2 linked regions of the Pelodiscus sinensis genome follow. The protein of the gene in region 2 binds, or shares a complex with, the protein of the main gene of each other region. Links are inferred from orthologs where the notes say so. Each region holds a gene or a part of one and is shown on either strand. Other genes may lie near its edges. The genes, in order: TCAIM and OGDH.

Region 1 (8,874 bases), on a different chromosome or scaffold from region 2:
TTATGTTAGATATCCCCTTGCATTTTAATTGGGCACATTATGGATAGGACTTTCTAGAATAATGCCTTTTTCACTGCTTGATAACTTTTGAACTAATAAAGTACTCAGAGGCAATGTTCCCTCTAATTTTTTCCATGCATGTTCAGAATAAATGTTATATGCACCAACACATGTTCAAATGTGCACCAGCAGGAGAAACACAAACCCAGCTGTAAGTGCTCTGCTAATGAGCAGGGTGGCATTGGAATCTCTGCTGAGTGGGCACACAAGTGCACACTTACAAGGAACACTGGAATATGGCACCTCTGAGCAGACACACTTCTCTTAATACAGATGAATGATCCCTTTTAATTCCCAACCAATCTTGTTCAGTGAGGTTAATGATCTTTGGCCTCTCTATGGTCATAAACAGGGCTCGCCGAAGTGCGGCAAGCCCTGCTTGCCAGCCGCGCTGTCCGGCGATCTGCACATGCACAGATCACCCGAACCCAGCTCTTCTGGGTTGCAATCTACTCGTCATGGGTGAGTAGTTTGCATTATTTGTAGAACCCTGGTCATAAATATTTTTTAGATGGGACACAGTGTTATACTTGTGTAATAGAACTAGCATAATCTTAGGGGGATAAGGCAATATGTTGAGTTTATTGTGGAGGCATAATTAATTTATTATCCATAGCTACTAAAATTATTCATCACACACACAGTTCTACAGATGGGATATAATTACCAGTCTCAGTTGCTCATATTATGCCATTGGCCAAGTGGTCTAGACCAGTGTTTTTCAACTAGTGGTTCAAGTACCTTCAGGGGTACTCAAGAGAAGTCTGGGAGGTACATCAACACAACTGAAATGTGAAGAAAACTGAATTTTTGTTCTAAGTTTTACAGTGTTTTATTATTTTTCTACTTTTTACACCCAAAAATTTCATCACCCACCTGACTACAATTAAGTTGTTTAAACAAATGAGTTGTAATGGTAGAAAAAATTGTGTGTGTCTGAAAACTGTAGGTACTGGGGGTACTTATATATATTTTTATTTTATTTTATTTTGAAAAGGGGTACTTTATTAAAAAAGGTTGAGAAATACTGGCCTAGACATCAGGAGGCAAGCCAGGTCGTGTCAGTGTGCACTGATGCTTCTAGAGGATGATTATAGAACTGAATGACCCAATTCTGGTTTTGCACCCACCGTTATATATTTTAGTCCATAAAGCCTGTCCTGTCCCACTGCCTCAGGACACTGTGGCTATGTCTACACTCGTGGCTTCTTGCACGAGAAATATACAAATGAGGCTAAGCGTGGAATATTGCCGAGCCTCATTTGCATACCTAATGAGCTGCCATTTTTGCAGAAGAGGCTCTTGCGCCAGAAGGAGCTGTCTACACTGCTCCTTCTTGCGCAACTAAAACCCTCTTGCACAATGCCGTTCTTCCTGAAAAGTAATCAGCATAATGGCATTGCGCAAGAGGGTTTTTGTTGCGCAAGAAGGGGCAGTGTAGACAGCTCCTTCTGACGCAAGAGTCTCTTCTGCAAAAATGGTGACTTATTAGGTATGCAAATGAGGCTTGGCGATAGTCTATGCTTAGCCTCATTGGCATATTTCTGGCCCAAGAAGCCACGAATGTAGACAGAGCCTGTGGACATGTCTACACTAGGAAATTATTTTGAAATAGCTAAATTTGAAATAATTCTCAAAATAACTCTTTTGAAATAAGCTTTTTCCCCAAGGAAAGCAGGAGTACAGATTTCAAAATAACCAGCCTATTTCAAAATAACAGGGTTGGTAGTGTGGACACTCCGCTTATTTCAAAATAACTCCCTAGTGTCGCCCAGAGCTGTATGACCATGAGTTATCAGTTGATGGCAGATGGGACATTGTCATTTCTTGATGAGGCTTTTGCCTTTTTTTTTTTTGTTCTTTTGCAGGGCCTGCCTGCATTATTCTTTGGCCCTGAGAGTGGTGCTAGCATCTGGTCATCTAGACATGCTGGCTTCTGGGACTGATTCCTTTACACGCACCCACATTCACACTTTTACAGATACACACACCTAACTTTAAACAGTGGTAAGGCAGTACAAAGTTTTAAATTGGATTTATTACAATATATAAAAAAGTTACAGTTACAGATTCTCCAAAGGCCATTCTCAACAGGTTACTAACAAATTAATCCAAATCCTATTAATAAAACTTGGGCTGCAATTCATGAGGTTACATAATCTCACATTGGTAGATATAATTTATTAAAAGGACGATTTCATTTTTCAGCCCCAAACAGGACATACTCCACTTTCCCTCTATGTGCTGTTCTCTTTTAAAAGGCTAGATTTTTATGGAGTAGTAGATGGATCTGAAATTTCTTAGCTAATATAAAGAGACACATGGTGTGGAAGTTAGTAATCAGGACATGCAAATGCATGTATTTAACTGGCAGGGAAGGCTGCAATTTTATTAATTTAATGTCTCTTTGAAGTATTATCTGTTCTCCTTCCCAAATTCTCATGTATTAGCTATTTGAACAGATTTAAAGTGGGAGGTTACAGAGTTCCCACAATATAGCCTCTCGGCCTACTCCAAGGATTTAAGTCACTCCAAAATCCTCTCACCCTCGAGTGTCCTCTCCAGTTGAACTACTGGATTCAGATTGCTTCAGTGCTGGAGCTTAGCTGTGATCAACATGCTAACTTGGCCACCGTCCAGTGTAACCAATGTGCTAGCGTGTTACAATTCCAGAGAACTAGCCTTGTTTGGAATGTCACAAAGAGGACCCTAGCAACCCTTCCATTCTAGGGATAGGAAGATCTAACCAGTTAACCTTCAAGCCTCACCCAAGGCTGAAGCAGCTTACTGCTGCAGATACAGGGCTGTTTCAGGTGTTGCTCCGGTGTCCCAGTCAGACTAGCTCTTGTCTGTGAGGCACCCTGGCCTGTCACAGACAGAGCTTTTGTCCACAGTGGGCCTGGATGCACCGCAGTCAGGGGGCTGGTCCAGGATCCTGGCCAGTACAGCCCCTGCCTGCAACGGGGTGGGAGAGAAAGGGAGGGAAGGAGTAGGGGGGGAGCACAGCAGAGTCTGCTCTGGCTGGGAGGGAAGGAGGCATTCCAGCTCAGCAGCAAGGGGGAGCATGTCCCTTATTCACCCCCTTTTAATTGGTTAACAAGTTAAACAATATGTTTAACCAGTCTGGGACTATAACAGGATTTTACATCCCTAGGACAAGCAGCTTTATAACAGTTTGGTTTCTAGCACGCTATTGCCTAAGGTCTCTAGGACTCAGAATTCTGATGCTGAGGATGTCACTGCACTATTGCTTGATTGATTACTCCTTGCATTTCCCATATTTCTCTTTGATGATAGTAGTGATTTCTCATTTTAGGAATTTTACTTTCTTGTCCTACATGCATTTAGAATGAGAAATTCTAGATAACTAGCAGCAGTGATTTAAACTCAGATTTTCAGAATGTAAATCTAGGCCAGATTTTTCTATCATCTTGCTTCTATATGCAATTATACATTTCTGTAAAGTGGATGTAAAATGCTAACATTCAAAATTACAAGATGGAAGGCAATATATCAAGAACATAGGTAACACTAGGCTTGGAAATACTATATCAGGGCTACTCAACTTTGGAAGCCCCAGGGACCTCAATGATACAGCACATGCTGAAGGCTGCAACTTAAGTGTACTTGCATGCAAATATATGCAAATCACTTTTCACACTGACAGATGAATACAAAGCACTTTCCATAATTCCCCAGCGCTCCCAGCACCTCCTCCCTGGGGAAGGGGGGGCTAGAAATGCCAACACCCTGTACCCGTCTCTTCCAGCCAGCCCCTCCGCTTGCATCTTTCAATGCTCAACCTGCCTGGGAGATGCCTCGCCATTGTTACAGATCAGCCAAGAAAAATGCTATTAGAGATTTAAACATATTTACTTTGTACAGATATACCTGTGGTGACATTTTAATGGTTAAGTTTCAAGTTTTTTTAATTTTAGCCATGTCTTTAAATACTTTGACCCTCTCCCTAGTTTCCCACAACTAAAAATTTAAATGGATTAAAATATTAAATTTTAAAAATCCATCAAAATTACCAAAATAAATTTGCCAATCCTAGGTAATAGTTATGGGCTTTATTGAGTGCCTATTACTACTGCATACAATTATATTTCGGTCCTTCACACTGAATCCCAAACACCGCTGTCGGCTATGCAAAGTGCTCAGTAACCTCTGGTTTGAAATGCTGAGACGTGCGTTTGGCTCACTAGGGCTATGGCAGCGCCTGGCAATTTCGGGGCTGACTTAAAAGGAACACAATGTGTCCCATTCGCTTGCGCGTCAACAAACAGCAACTGCTTGGGAATTGCGTTCCCCGGCAGCGCACAGTCTCGGCGAGAGAAAGCAGCGCGGGGCAGGAGGCGTTGCCAGGCCCCCGCTCCTCAAGCCCCGCAGAAGCTGCGGCAGCAGCAGGAGCGCGAGTCCCAGCCCGCGTTGCACACGCGCTGCCTTGCTCGGCAGGTAGACGCCGGCCCCTTCCGCGTGGCCCAAATCACGCGCGCTGCGCGGGGAGGAAGCCGTTCGCCAGCCTGAGCCGGGCCGCGCACCCTGGGCTTCTACGTTCTGCCGCCGCGAAACGACCTCGCTGGCGCGGGGACACGGCTGTCACGCATGCGCGGCTGCTTTGACGGTGCGGTGGGAAGTTGCGCGAGTGCGCGCGCTCCTTCTCCCTCGCGCTCGCGTGCGAGGAGGAGCGCAAGATGACGTGGCTGCACCGCGGCGCTCGAAGACGGGTCATTGCGCGAGCCGGAGGCGCCTGTTCGGGAGGTGGGAAAGTGACGGCGACGAGACCCCGCCCCTCAGGCAGCTCCTCCTCCACCCTCTCAAGTGGGGTGTCCCTGTGCCACCTTCCCCCCCTCTAACCCTCCCCCCTCGCGCGCCGCCATGGGGACCGAGCCCCGGCAGGCAGGGGGAGGGGCTGCTGTCCCGACCCTGAGGTAAGGGGCGGGGCTGTGAGTTGTGACGCGGCCTGGCGGCAGGTGCTTGTGACCCTGCCTCGCTCGGGGGAGCACTCGCGCCCCAGCTGCCGGCGGGACCATCCTTGGCCGGGAGCTGGCGGTTGAACGCGCTGACGGGCCGCGACGGGGACCGGCTTCCACGTGACGCGTTCAAAACTTCCCGCGGGATCTCGCTGCTGCTGCTGCTGCCGCCGTGAGGGGGGGGGGCGGCGGCGCATGGAGCCCCCGCCGCTTGCTGAGGCGGCCCTTTGCGCGGGGTCCGGGTTGTAGTCGCGGTGTTGTGCGGGGCCTGCCCGCAGAGAGGCTGGGGCTAGAACACGTAGTAGCCCCCTGGGAGGGCTAAGCTGTGTCTGGCGCCCTTCGCGGGTCTTGGGTTCTCTGGCCTGGCCGGGCTCTGAATACAGACCCTCCCTCTGGCTGAAACAAAACCAGGACTATGCAGCACTTTAAAGACTAACAAGATGGTTTATTAGATGATGAGCTTTCGTGGGCCAGACCCACTTCCTCAGATCAAATGGTGGAAGAAAATTGTCACAACCATATATACCAAAGGATACAATTAAAAAAAACGAACACATCTGAAATTTGATTTGTCCTTTTCATAACAGAAGAGGGATGGGGGGGGGGGAAGGTCTGTGGGCTAATGATATTAGAGGTGATAATTGGGGAAGCTATCTTTGTAATGGGTAAGGTAATTAGATTGTTTATTCAGACTCACGTGTAAAGTGTTGAATTTAAGCATGAATAACAGTTCAGAGGATTTTCTTTCAAGTGCAGTCTTAAAAGGCTTTTGAAGCAGGATGCCTCTGGCTGTAATACTTGGGGTTGGTGCTGAGGGGTGTTGGTGGCCTGTGTTATACAAGAGGTCAGGCTGGGTGGTGCCCTCTGTCCTTAAACCCTGTGGATGGTCAAGAGTCGGAAGACACTTGGCCTGTGCTGTGTTTTGGAGACCTCTCCCCTATTAGGTGTGTGCAAGCCATCAATGAACGTGCATCCTGTCCATCGGGAAGCCAGTCTAAAACTCTTCCTGTCCTGCCTCAAACAAGAGGTTTTGATTTGGAGCTGCTGTAAGATTGAGTGCATCTCAGATCTATCACATAATACAGTAAAAACTTAAAAACCAACAGATAGTTCTTCAGCACCTTGGAGACTAACAAAATGTAGATGGTATCATGAGCTTTCATGGGCACACCCCACTTCTTCAGATTAATGGAGTAAGGGGTTCAGGGTACAAAAATACATACAGTAAGCCTACCAGGTGTCTGAGGCAGCAAATGTTTAGTCACTTGTTAATGTAGATTTCAACATGGTGTATTTTACATTTTCCTATTGACAAATCAGCCCAGATTCATTCTCTCTTGCATAGAGCTAAAGATTCACATTTTAGATTTCAAACCGTTTTTTCAGTCTGGAGATAGAATTTGCTGGGTGTTTCACGAGATACTTTTAAAATGTACTCACATCTTTTTGAATGTTTTGTATTTTATACTGCACTGAATTTCCCTTAAGCAGAAAAAAGTAACACAACCAGTTCTAGTGTTGTGTTCTAACCATGGGTGTGGCTGAACACCCAGCAGGGGAAGGCAAATCCCAGCCCCATCCCATCTGCCTAAGGCTCCTTTCCCATCTTCCCCCCTCCCCACAAACTGGATCCAAGACTCCTTAGTCTCACCATCCCAGCAGTGCTGCAGTCCCAGCCCTCCTGTGTGTTGGGCACATGGGCAGTTTTGGGAAAACAACATCTTTCCTTGCCTACATTACCCGCCACTCAGGGCTCTAAACTGTGTTGTAGTTAAAATGCTTATATGAATGCTCATATGAATGTTTGTTTAGTTCATTCTGTATACATTCTTGTTGAAGTAACCATGTAGCAATCTGGCAAATTAGGGAAATCCACCCACCCTATGCTGCTGCCTCTGTTTTACATGATTACTTAACTAAACACATTTTAACATCCCTAGTTTAAGCTTCTTCAGCTTCTGCCTGTTCATTCCTACTAACATTGATATATAGTAAACTGCTGAACATTCCAGACAGCAGCTGCTGGGAAATGCTCTCAATAATCAAGTGCTCAGTTAATGTGAGGAACAATACTGACTACTTACACACTGCAGCTTCCCTTGAGTGGGGACTGCCAGTTATAGTGAACTACTTTGTGCCTTACCAAAGGAAAAAGGAGGCTATATCGGGGTAGGCAAAAGCCTTTCAGCAGGCCAAACCTAGGGCTTTGATCTGGCCTGCAGGGCAGTTCCAGGCCACAACCCCTAGCAGGTTGCTTCGGAGCAGGAGAGGGGTGCAAACCTGTCTAACTGCTTCTATTTAAAGGGTTTGTGTCTTCCTCACACCTTGCCTAGCAGCTGCAAGGAAGGCACAAGCCCTTTCAATAGAAACAGTTGAAAGGGCTTGCATCTCTGTCTCCCTAGCAACGTGCTAGAAGCATGGGGAGCTGCAAGCCCTTTCAAGCGCTTCTATTTAAAGAGGTGGCACCTTCCCTGTGCCTGTCAGGCAGCATGTTGCCTAGTAGCCGTGGGAACAGGAGAGCCCTTTAAATAGAAACAGATGAAACTGCATGGAACTCCACTCACCTCTAGCACGTTTGCCAGAGATGCCTGATCCCTTTCAGCTGTTTCTATTTTAAGGGCTCTCTTGTTCCCACAGCTGCTAGGCAATGCTGCCTGAAAAGTGCAATGAAGGCACAGGCACAAGCCCTTTAAAAGAGCTTGTGTCTCTTTCTTCGGAGCAATGCATTAGAGGCATGGGGAGCTGTGAGCTCTTTTAAGCGCTTCTATTTAAAGAGCTGGTGCCTTCCCTGGGCCCTACAGGCAGCTTGCTTAGCAGCTGTGCAGAACACTGGAGCCCTTTAAATAGAAACAGCTGAAAGGGATTGCTCATCTCTGGCAACATGTTAGAGGCATGGGAAGCTGCCAGCCCTTTCAGCTGTTTCTATTTAAAGGGCTCTTGTGTTCCCACAACTGCAAGGCAATGCATTGCCTGACAGGACCAGGCAAGGTACCAGCCCTTTAAATAGAAGCACTTAAAAGGGCTTGCAGCTCCCGGTGCCTCTAGAGTGTTGCTAGCAAGCCAGAGATTCACCTGCTGCGTGGCTGCATTTCCTAGCAGCTACCCAGCAGGTGCAAGCCCTTTAAACAGAAGCAATAAAAAGAGCTCACTGCTATGCCCCAATGGCCTGTTGCCTAAGAGCTGCCCAGAGACATGAGCCCTTTCAACTGTTTCTATTCAAAGGGCTTCTGCCTGCCGGGCAGCTGCCAGACAACAGGGCTATGTCTACACTTGAGGTTTCTTGTGCAAGTATGGCCATTCTCGCGCAAGAATCCGCAGAGCATCTGCACTGCCCACTCACTCTTGCGCAAGGAAATTTACATTACGGCATGGTAAGAGAGGGCTTCTTGAGCAAGAGCTATGCTCTTTAACAGGTGCAAGCCCTCTTGCACAGGAACTCTTGCGCAAGAGGGCAATGTGTACACTCGGCAGGGATTTCTTGCGCAAGAAAGCCCTATGGCTAAAATGGCCGTCGGAGCTTTCTTTCGCAAGAGAGCGTCCACACTGCCATGGGAGCTCTTGCGCAAAAGCACAGCGTGCACATGGCAGTGTGGATGTTTTCTTGCGCAAGACTTCTTGCGCAAGAAGCCATGAGTGTAGACATAGCCCAGGTTAGCAGTGGGGACCAGGAGCTGTGAGCCCTGTTGTATGAAATCTAAACCTGCACCGCAGACAATGCTAGGAGGAGGATAGCCCCCAGCATCCTTCCCTCTGCTTCAGGTCCCTTCCATTGGCTAGAAGTCAGGGGGCAGGGACTCCAGGCCAAGCAAAGCTCCCGGTAAGGTAGCTCTAAACCCTG
Region 2 (9,898 bases):
CAGGGTAAATATGGTATTCAAGGCCTAGCCACTCAGAGAAGCCTCTCCTGGCCCGGGGTTTGATTTCCTGGGAAGGGAAAATGGGTGGTAGGGGGACCTGGGCCCTCCCTCTCCACCGGGTCCCAGCTCAGGGCCCTTTAGGCAGGGCCTATGGCTCCTGCCCGCTTGGCGGGGAATCCGGCTGATACACGCCGAGCCAAGCTTTTAGTCCTTTGCCCTGGGCTGCTTCCTACCACACCCTGGTTCTCCTGGGGCCCATTCGCCTCCGAGTCAGTACCTGCCAGGGTTGCGGGCATGCTCTTGCCTCCCTGGTGATGGCAGCTGCTGGCTCTGTCTCTGGGTCAGGCACGGGCAGCACCTCTGGTCTCAGCTGCTGCAGAAACACCGGCCTGGCCTGGTCTACTCCCTCATCCTGCGGTGTCCTTGGCTGCAGGGCTCCCTCTGCTTTTATACCCAGCCTCTACTGGAAACATGCCCAGCAGGGCTGGAGGGGCGGGGCTTTCTCCACCAGCTGGGCCTTGACTACCCCTTGTCCATCAGTGCGGGGCCTGTCCGCCTCGTCACAGTTGGACATTAGGAAAAAGTTCCTGTCAGGGTGATCAAGCATTGGAATAAATTGCCTGGGGTGGTTGCGGAATCTCCATCTCCAGAGATATTTAAGAGCAGGTTAGATAAATGTCTATCAGGGATGGTCTAGACAGTACTGGGTCCTGCCATGAGGGCAGGGAACTGGACTCGATGACCTCTCGAGGTCCCTTCTAGTCCTAGTATTCTATGATTCTAGTGCCAAATGCACATAAATCAAACTCACCTAGTTTTGTTCTTTGAGTGAAGTGCTTTGTATGTCAATAATTAAACACAAAAGGCCTTGATGGGGACCAGTTGTGTATTTTGATGCCCCACCCCCACAACACTAGGAAAAACACCCCTTGTGAAAACAAAAACAAAAAAACAAAAAACCACACAAACCCCCCTTTTATTTATTTACAAAATTTGACTTTCCATCCATCCTAGAGCTCTTCTGCTAAGGATCATCTCAAAGACAGATAGTGCTATGTAGTCTGGCTGCATGAGACCACTCCTAGAATGTCACAGGTATTTAGCATGACATGCATGTCTGGGGAGGGCAGATGTGCTATCAAAAGCACAGTTATGAAAAAGAGAACAGAGTGAGTGAGTTCTGGTCTGCAGGACGTCTGTTCTGGGGTTACAGTATGCTGACCAGGAATTGAAGTCCTGTTCTGTTACTTTGCACCTCAGGTCACACAGCGCAATCTATACAAGTTCCCATAGCACTGGGGGATCTGAATTATGTAGAACTCTCTCTGCAGGTGTCCGAAGCAGGACATTTTCAGAAATCCTGTTCTCTACACACAGTGCAAGGTCTCAGTTCATAGCCTCTCCAAAGCTTGCCCAGAGATGAGACGGGAAAGCAGCTAAGTCTACAATTCCGCAAGCTTCCCTTAGACATGAGGCTGAAGATCACCTCCTGGCCCCACCAAGCATTCCTTCCTAGTGGAGGTTTTTAATTTCACCCTCTAACTGTAAGACTGTCTAGTGTACAGCAATAGCAGAGCTAGTTCAATGTCTATTATTAACTTCATACAGTTACTCCTCAGACTTCCAGTGACACTTTGCTTGGTAATGGCTCCTGGCAATTACTAGCCAACAGACTACTTCCTGTGGTCCAAATTCAGCCCCGCTAAGAGGGATTTATGAGACAATTATGCTAAACAGAGCTGCACGCGTTTGTATAGGGTTGAATACTGTACTGAAACTTGTAAACTTAATCTACCACGGACCATGGCCAAAGTGATTGTGTGTGATGGCCATTAACCCAACACATGCATGTTAGTGACAGATTTCAAGGTGGTATGCTATCGGATACCAGCTCTGGATAGACTAAAGCTCACTAGAATTTTACACTTGTAACCCTTAGAATAATTATCTTCTGAAGTTAGTAGCTTGAGGAAAAGTTAAGGAATGGCTGGTAGAAAGAGCTCTGCTAACCACAGCAGAGGATTTTATACCCACATTTCTGCCACCCAAGTGGTGTTGGAAGAACGACTCTGCAGCAGAGCCAGCATACTTACTCACAGGAGATCAAACACTGCCGCGCTGAGCACAATTTGCATCCCACATTAATAGTGGAATGCACAGAACTTGAACCCAATTCCCTCCTCCCTGCTCTCCCAACACTCCATCAGAAAGGAAAAGCAGCAGCTCAGCAAGAGGGGGATTCCCAGGAAAGGCAGCTCTTCTCTTTGAATCCACCTTTGATTCCCAAAGCAGAACATGCCGAGTTGACTGAATGCTCTGAGCTTCTCGGATTCAATCCAGAACGAAGCAGGATCGAATTGTTTTGCTATTGCTCAATTAAACACTGTTGGTTCTTTCCACAGAAGCGGACGTGGAACTGATGATTCGTGATTCCCAGGCTCTTTGCGCTGAATTCCTTCCGGACATCTGCACTTACCTGACTGTGCCATTGGACTCTCTCTCACACACATGCAGGAGATGAAGGAACAATATCCTGGACGAATGGCTCCTCCTTACCTTATGTACACTTTTGGGATTTTCCAGCCACGCATAGTACATTTCCTCCACATAGTTCGAACTAGTCCCACTCAGAAACGGCTCAGCAGCCACAGGCGCACTGTAACACCTGATTTGCTGGAACGTCCTTGGTGCTGCTGGCTTGTGTTGGGAAATTGTCTTAACAGTCTGTGAGGCCGTCAACGGCCTCAATTTAGCAGCACAAGTCCTTAAGTGAAACATTTTTGTCCTGTAGCCGCTCACAAGCTCCTGTTGGTATAGGAATAAGAAGCATTTTAGACATTGAACTGTTTTGCAATTTACAAAGAGAAATCAACCCAATAACCATCTAGCTGTTACTTAGCATTTCTCATCCACAGATCTCAAAGCCCTTCTCAAACATTGTTTCCCCATCTGTAAAATGGAGATTGAGACTGGAATCAGAGTCACTCAGCAGAGCGGAGCCAGTAACAGGTTTCCCATGTCCTAGAGCAACGCTCCATCCAGGAGGCCACGCTGCCCCTCCTCCAGTCAGATTTCTCATTTGGCTACTTGAAACCAATAGCTTAGTATGGGTATTGGCACTGCACAACTACTGAATTAAGATATGGACTAGTATCCCTTTGGGTTAATCCCCTCCACTCCCCAATAGGGATGTTAACAAACACGTGCGTAAACATGTAACCACTGGATTTTTTTTAATTGTTACACATTTACATGTGGGGTAGACGGGGGGAGAAGCACTCTCTCCTGCCTACCCCAGGCAGTTCTGGGGGAGCCAATACATGGGGGGAGCCACCAGCAACCTGGGGGCGAGGGGCATGTAGTCATCAGCAGGGCTCACCAAACCGCGGCGAGCCCAGCTCACCAGCTGCGCTGTCCAGCGATCTGCGCATGCGCAGAACGCCCGAACCCAGCTCTTCCGGGTTACCATCTACTCGCCACAGGCAAGTAGATTGTATTATTTGTCGAGCCCTGGTCATTAGAATTAACAGATAAGACCAGGCTTATCAATCAATCAAATCATTTAAATGATTACACACTAACATCCCTTCCCATACTGACTGGCTGCAATTGGCTGGGGAGTAGGGAACTAAAGCAGAAAGTGAAATCCAACCCTAACAGCAACTTTTTCTCCCCTATTTTGCTTTCAGTTTACATCACCTAAAACTGAAGTTTAATATATCAACTTGTAAGCTTTACATTTATCAAGCAGTACTCCATTGTGAACAGATGTTCGTTTTTCTGACAACCGCTGATAAAATGAGAAAGGTCTGATCATTTATACCTCTTGGGGCACAGGAATAAAGGAGGGAACACTAGGCTGTAAATGTGATCAGAGAAAGCTGGTCAGTAGGCTGCGGACAAAGAGCATCAGAAGCAAAGCTAGAGGAGAGGTAGGAATGATTAAAAGCAAAGGGGATGTTGGGAAAATGGATTTACTGACAGGGAAGGCACCCCAAGAGAGCGTAATTGCAACTCACTGGAAGCAGTGGAGGCAAAATGCTGAGACTGCCACTCAGCAGCACTTCTGCTGAACTTTGTTCCCATTCCCACCTCCCTGCAGTTCTCTTAGTGTCCACATTGCTCACTCCCAAACACGCGGGGCAGGGAAAGAGTTGCCCTTGCGTGCAGCGCAACATATGCAGGCATTTTACAACATGTGCGCCATTCCTCCTAGTGCACTAGGAAGAGGTCATTAAGCCATCAGAGTAAAATTATCAGCTATTATGCAAAATTAAAACGTAACATACAAGAAGCATATCTTCTTGGATTTGCTGTCCAACTAAACGCGAGAGACGCGGGTTCCAGGAAAGGCCCTATTTCCCTTTAAAGAGTGGAGGGCTGGGATTCCGAGGCTATGTCTTCACTGGAAAAAAAATAGGTGACATCTGACCATCTCAATGCTAAATCCCTGTGGACACAAACCAAAAGTACCTTACTGCAGACAGATGAAGGAGACCACAAGTAGCCACCTTGCTGTAAAAGTTCCCCATACCTTGTCTCCACTAAGAACTTACAGCAAGACAACTATCTCAAAACTAATGCAAGGTTTTTGCAGTGAAGACCTAGCCTTAGTGAATCAGACTCCTAAAGCTATCTTATGGCTAATGCCTGTTTATTCGGCTGAGACAGTACAGGCAGTCCCCAGGTTACATGGATCCGACTTGCATCGGATCCCTACTTACAAACGGGGTGAGGCAACCCCGCACTAGCTGCTTCCCCCCAGCAGACCAGGGAGACGCGAAGCTAGCGCCCCCCCCCAGCAGACCAGGGAGACGCGGAGCGGCTTTTCTCAGCAGACACCTCAGCTTGAGAATAAAGGACTGAGGGAAGTGAGGTGTGGGAGAATAAAACTGAGCTCTGGAGAAATGTTTGGCTAGAGTTTCCCCTACAATATGTACCAGTTCCAACTTACATACAAATTCAACTTAAGAGCAAACCTACAGTCCCGATCTTGTACGTAACCCGGGGACTGCCTGTACTGTAATTGAGTCAATTAAAAAAAAGCTTCAAATAATTTCTTGTCCTTCTGCCAATTCCTGTGCTTTTTAGTTGTTTTTTCCTATTTAAAAAAAGGAAAATTTTCCAATGGAAGTGGAACATCTGAAAATCTGGCCCTTACACCTCTGCTCCCCTTCCCAGCTATTCCTATTAACATTTCAAATCTAGTCCTTGAGATGAACACTGACTCCCCTTTAAAAACAAAAAGAAATGTCAGTGACAGTGCACAAGCTATTGGTGCAGCTACATGCCGTCATAACACACAGAATACTTACGGATCAGTCTGTCAGCAGAGCAGCCGTCACCAGGCCATACAATACCCAGCAGTTTGTCTCTTTTAAAAGCCCTAGGACAGTGGCATGTGAGCTGGAGGCTACTTCCAGAATTGGTACACTGGCTGGGGAGAGGGTTTCGGCCTTTCGTTTACAAAACATTTACTTAAAAACACAAACAAGTTTGTTCAGTGAGAGCCCACTAAGTGGACATAAAAAGCCCCTATCCCCAGCTGAGAACTGGCAGGGTCTGTTTGGCAGCTGGATCACGGGGTTCAATGTTACATTTTCTCCAGCAACCTCATGTGAAGATGGCACAACCCTCCTTCATAAGCAAAAACCGCAAGAAAACAACTTTGGTTACATAAACCCAGCTTGGAAACATTTTCCATTACCCCCTTTCCTATTTAATAGGCACTGGCTGAGAGTTGCTGGCTGGGAGTTGCAACTGGTTAACTAGGACAGCACTTTTCTTCCAGCTACAATTTTATTGCATTGCTCACCGAGCTGCCATGGTGCTTTTGGGCCAGAATTCAATGGAGTGCTACAGGCTGCACCTCTAGTCTGGATTTCCCTCACCCGGAGACCATCTCTGGCCTGACATCCCCATGGGTGCTCCTGGGCTGGAACCCTCATGAGGAAAAGCTGAGGCCCAATGCTCAGCTGTTCCTCCCGTCCTCCCAAAAGCTTCCGGAGCTGGAAAAGTGGGGACAGGAGGCAAGACGCCCAGGAGAAGGCTACACTGCCACCCCGTCTCTTCTGCCGAGCACCCTCCACCCAGTCCCTGCTCAGTCAATGCCAGCCCCTCTGCTGCCATCAAGCAGATCCCTGCAGCCAGGGCAGCAGAGGGGCCGGCACTGACTGCCCCTGGTCCAGGACCCGTCAGATCTCCAGGGTGCCAGACCAAGGAGGGACAATCTGGAGTAGAGAAGTATAGTGCCTTCCTTGCTGTGCACTCAAAGCCCTTCACAGCACTACACTGTGACTTCACTAAGGGAAAAGGTACGTTCTTAACAGGTGGTAAAATCCTGGAGAAGATAACTATGCTGCAGTTTCCCACATGACTTTGTACATCAAGGTAAAAGCCCTAAGGTCCCTCCAAGTCTATGGCTGTGTCTTACCTTCAGCAAGATAACATACCCTAACCTGCTGCTCCACCCCCTTTTTGGCAGCGAAAACATAGCCCTTAAATCAGGAGTGGGGAGCCTCCGGTTCGGGCTGGTCAGGGTTAGCTGCTGGGGGCTGCAAGGCAGTTTGCTTACTGAGTGTCTGCAGGCATGCTACTCACAGCTCCCAGGGGCTGTGGTTTGCTGCTCCCGGCCAATGGAAGCTGTGGGAATCAGGGAACCTCCGGTACACTACTACCCACTTTAAATCAACCTGCTAACTTGTACAAAAAACTACCCACTGCCTCGTCATCACTAGGATTCTACCTCTTGGTAGTTACCATTCAGAGAGGCTTATGGACCAACTTTTCATGGAGTAATCTAATTCTGGTGTCCAACTGGAGACATTTGGGACATGACTTTCAAAGATGCTGAGAACAATGACTGTTGAGAACTCAACACCTGCAAAAGTTGAGTCTAAGCATTCTAATTAGCGCTCATCTGGGTAACAAGCTTGTTGCGTGTGCGAGGCCTTTGCACAATTCCATAGCAAATGCTCTGGCTAAAAAACTGGCCAGTAACTATTAGTCTATTGACTTTCCCAGGTTTAGGGCTAACTGAAGGAACAGATTCTCTTAGAGGAGGTAGGAGAGTTTGGTCATCCATGGCTTCACTGAACAGAGGTGTTCAAGTTTCAGAGAACATTTGTTAAAATTCATTTGGTCTTTCCAACCTTCATTTCTTTTGAAGTCTAAGCTATTGCTCCAGTTTCTAGAGGAACATCAGAAAGCTCTTTCCAACAGATCTGTGACAGAGACAATTCACAAATAGGGCATCTTTTATTGATTCCTTCTTGGGCTACAGCTGTGCATACAATTGTTAAAAGTGTTTATTAACATCTGACTTGTGTATAATTACTGCTACCATCACAAATACCAGTGATCTTATTTCTGTTAGTCTTTTCCTTAAGTCTGTAAACCAACATCTTGTCAGATCTCGACAGACTCCCAGTGGTTTTGCATCAAAACAGAAGCAAACAAACACTCAGTCTTTTGGGATGCAAGTCTGTTGATTTCATATCTTAGGATTGATAGGGATTCTGAGTGTCTCCCTGAATGAGACAGAAAAACAATAGCTATTTTTAGTAACTCCAAGCATAGGCACTTTTATTTGGAACAAGAGTGCCTTGGCTCCTGTTTAGCTTAATCTACTTTCAATGGGATCGGAGAACTTTTGCTCCAAAGTAAGTGTCGATGGGTAGAGATTTTCAGGAATAACCCTATGTACACAAGCCACTATTAGGCTCCTAAGAGATGAAGTGTCAAAAAAGTATTAGTGGTAAATATTTTAAAAGTTTTGGCTTAGAACTGATCTGCCCAATTCCAAATAAAGTGCTTTGGCTTGTCTATACTCAGAAGCTGCACAGGTTTAATATGAATCAGTTTAGTTACACCTTACAGCCTGTCTGGGGAGACTCATATTGGTTTATATTTAGATACATTAATTTAGCCTATGCTTGTAAATGTGCCGATATAAAGTAAACCGATGAGAGTTCAGATACAAAGCTGAACCAGTTTAACTAAAACAGTATTCAAATGTATTGATCACATGTACAGCTGTGTTGACAAGGAAGCATTAAAGCTGGACTCAAACTCAGAAATTCCTCAATTCCCTGTTTTTAGTTGTTTTCACTGAAAGATCAGTGACTACAAATATTCAGAATAAACCCAGTATTCAAACTATACAAAGACAGACCATTAAACACTGTAGATTAAGCTACTTAATTTGGCCTCAAACCAGCCAGAAGAGTCAATAAAACTTGTCACAGAAGACAGACTGGGAATCACTTTTTGCTTAAGCAAGGACCAAGCCAAACAAACAGAGGATTAAGAGAATGAATGTCTGATTAAAGGAAAAATTAGGCTGCTAAACTGGTGAAGTGAACCCTACACATATAAGCATAAGTAATAAACTAAACAAGTCTTGAACTATCTGAGTTTAGCTAATTTTGTTAAATGCTATTAGACTGCTAAATGTAGTTTTTAATACTAACAACACAGGTCCCTTACTTTAGGTGACCAAATGATTAAAGTAGTGGGTTTTTTTTTGGTTTTTTTAAGTCTTAAGAACTATTATTTGCCCTTTTTTGCTGCCAGGGGCCTAGCATATCTGAGTATGTTTAACATTACTGCTGTAGAGTGTTATTTTATTTTTAAAGAAGGTGTGTGCTTATTCAAGGTCACCTCAAACAAAATAAATCTCTGTAACTGTTCCACCAGAAGCTGTAACAACTAGCACTATCAAAACATACAGGAAATGGAAAGAGTTCTCCATCCGCTCAGTGAGGGCTGAAAATTCATTTGGAGTTTAAAAAAAAGTTAAAATCAGATGATTATGAACTACTTTTTTGCAATAAGTCAGTTAATTCATGTTTCCAATAACTGAAATCCTGACGCACACATTCAGCCCAACTCCACTAAACAAACTGATCCAGACGTGAAGGGACAGCAGTTTCTCAACAAAGCTACAAAACACATTATCAGTTTGTTTAACCTTAAACTGTTCAATAGTGCCTATTTGAAACAGAAAGATTCCTGGCATGAAGATTTACACATAGGACTAAGAACGTAAAAATGGAGCAAAAAAATCTTCAGCCCCCTTCAAAATATTGAAAAATTTTCCACGGAACATTCTGTCTAAATGAGGTTCCTGATCACTTGTATCCTATAGCAGGTGTAGGCAAAAATACAGCCCATGTGCAAGATTCAACTTTATTAAAAGGCAAAGCAAGCATATGCTATTCTGTTTACACTACTGGAAGTTCCATTCTCCCCGCCATCCCCACATGTCCATCTTTGTGGAAGGCATTTCTGACGGCTTGCCTCCGGATATGCCTTCACACTACAAGTTAACCCCGTGGTCACCAACCAGTAGATCGCGAGCTACTGGTAGATCCCAGGGGCTCTAAGAGTAGCTCTTGAGCCCTCTCTGAACTGCGCACCTGCGCAGCACATTTACATTAGATTTCCACATGTAATGGAGGCGGGGCTTCAAGGAAGGGGCGGGGCAGTAGAGCTTCTCCTGTTCTGAGACTTAAAAAGTGATCTTGGGTGTAAAAAGGTTGGAGACCACTGAGTTAACCCATGCTCCTATTTAACTCCAATGCTGACAGTCTAGCAATATCAACCCACAATTCTCTCAGAGGTACATTTTCCTGTCTTCTACCCATTCCCTGCTTCCACACAAGCACTCTCACCTGAGAGTCTGAAGACAACAGTTTGGCGCTTAAACCCATTCCACACAGCCCACTACACTGCGCTCTTTCAGAGGGGTGGTGGGGGCTGCTTTTAGTTGGCTCCTTGAGCATACCGGCCCTCCTGGAGCTGCCTATAACCATGCAATGGCTGAAGTTTTCAGCAGTTACATGGATTACTGAAGTGGATTTGCACATCCCTAGTATGAATACTTCTCACGCCAACG

What was found.
Region 1: the proteins of OGDH (region 2) and TCAIM are in contact, whole or in part, in a cryo-EM structure (PDB 8I0K), measured with the Homo sapiens proteins. The link is inferred for Pelodiscus sinensis from reciprocal best matches to the Homo sapiens genes OGDH and TCAIM. Residues at the interface, in NP_001425937.1 of Homo sapiens: Gly301, Tyr304, Arg323, Tyr354, Arg356, Ile358, Arg364, Asn365, Lys387, Glu391, Tyr394, Cys395, Gly396, Thr398, Glu399, Lys401, Lys402, Lys561, Met602, Pro605, Glu667, Gly668, Ile669, Asn709, Met734, Ala735, Ser736, Pro737, Asn738, Gln772; in NP_001269842.1 of Homo sapiens: Glu214, Gln234, Arg235, Ser236, Trp237, Gly238, His241, Ser244, His247, Ser248, Arg251, Gln255, Asp272, Arg273, Thr286, Met287, Asp288, Val289, His290, His291, Glu331, Leu332, Gln333, Pro334, Val335, Arg375, Tyr376, Glu441, Ser443, His473.

What each region holds. Positions count from the first base shown.
Region 1 is NC_134712.1:183,344,504-183,353,377, forward strand, and holds the start of TCAIM (T-cell activation inhibitor, mitochondrial), read left to right. Parts: upstream 1-4,395; 5' UTR 4,396-4,518; intron 4,519-4,682; exon of another isoform or gene 4,683-4,994; intron 4,995-8,874. UniProt on the Homo sapiens protein: May regulate T-cell apoptosis.
Region 2 is NC_134738.1:4,938,589-4,948,486, forward strand, and holds the start of OGDH (2-oxoglutarate dehydrogenase complex component E1), read right to left. Parts: upstream 4,419-9,898; 5' UTR 4,299-4,418; coding exon 4,290-4,298; intron 2,806-4,289; coding exon 2,557-2,805; intron 1-2,556. UniProt on the Homo sapiens protein: 2-oxoglutarate dehydrogenase (E1o) component of the 2-oxoglutarate dehydrogenase complex (OGDHC). Participates in the first step, rate limiting for the overall conversion of 2-oxoglutarate to succinyl-CoA and CO(2) catalyzed by the whole OGDHC.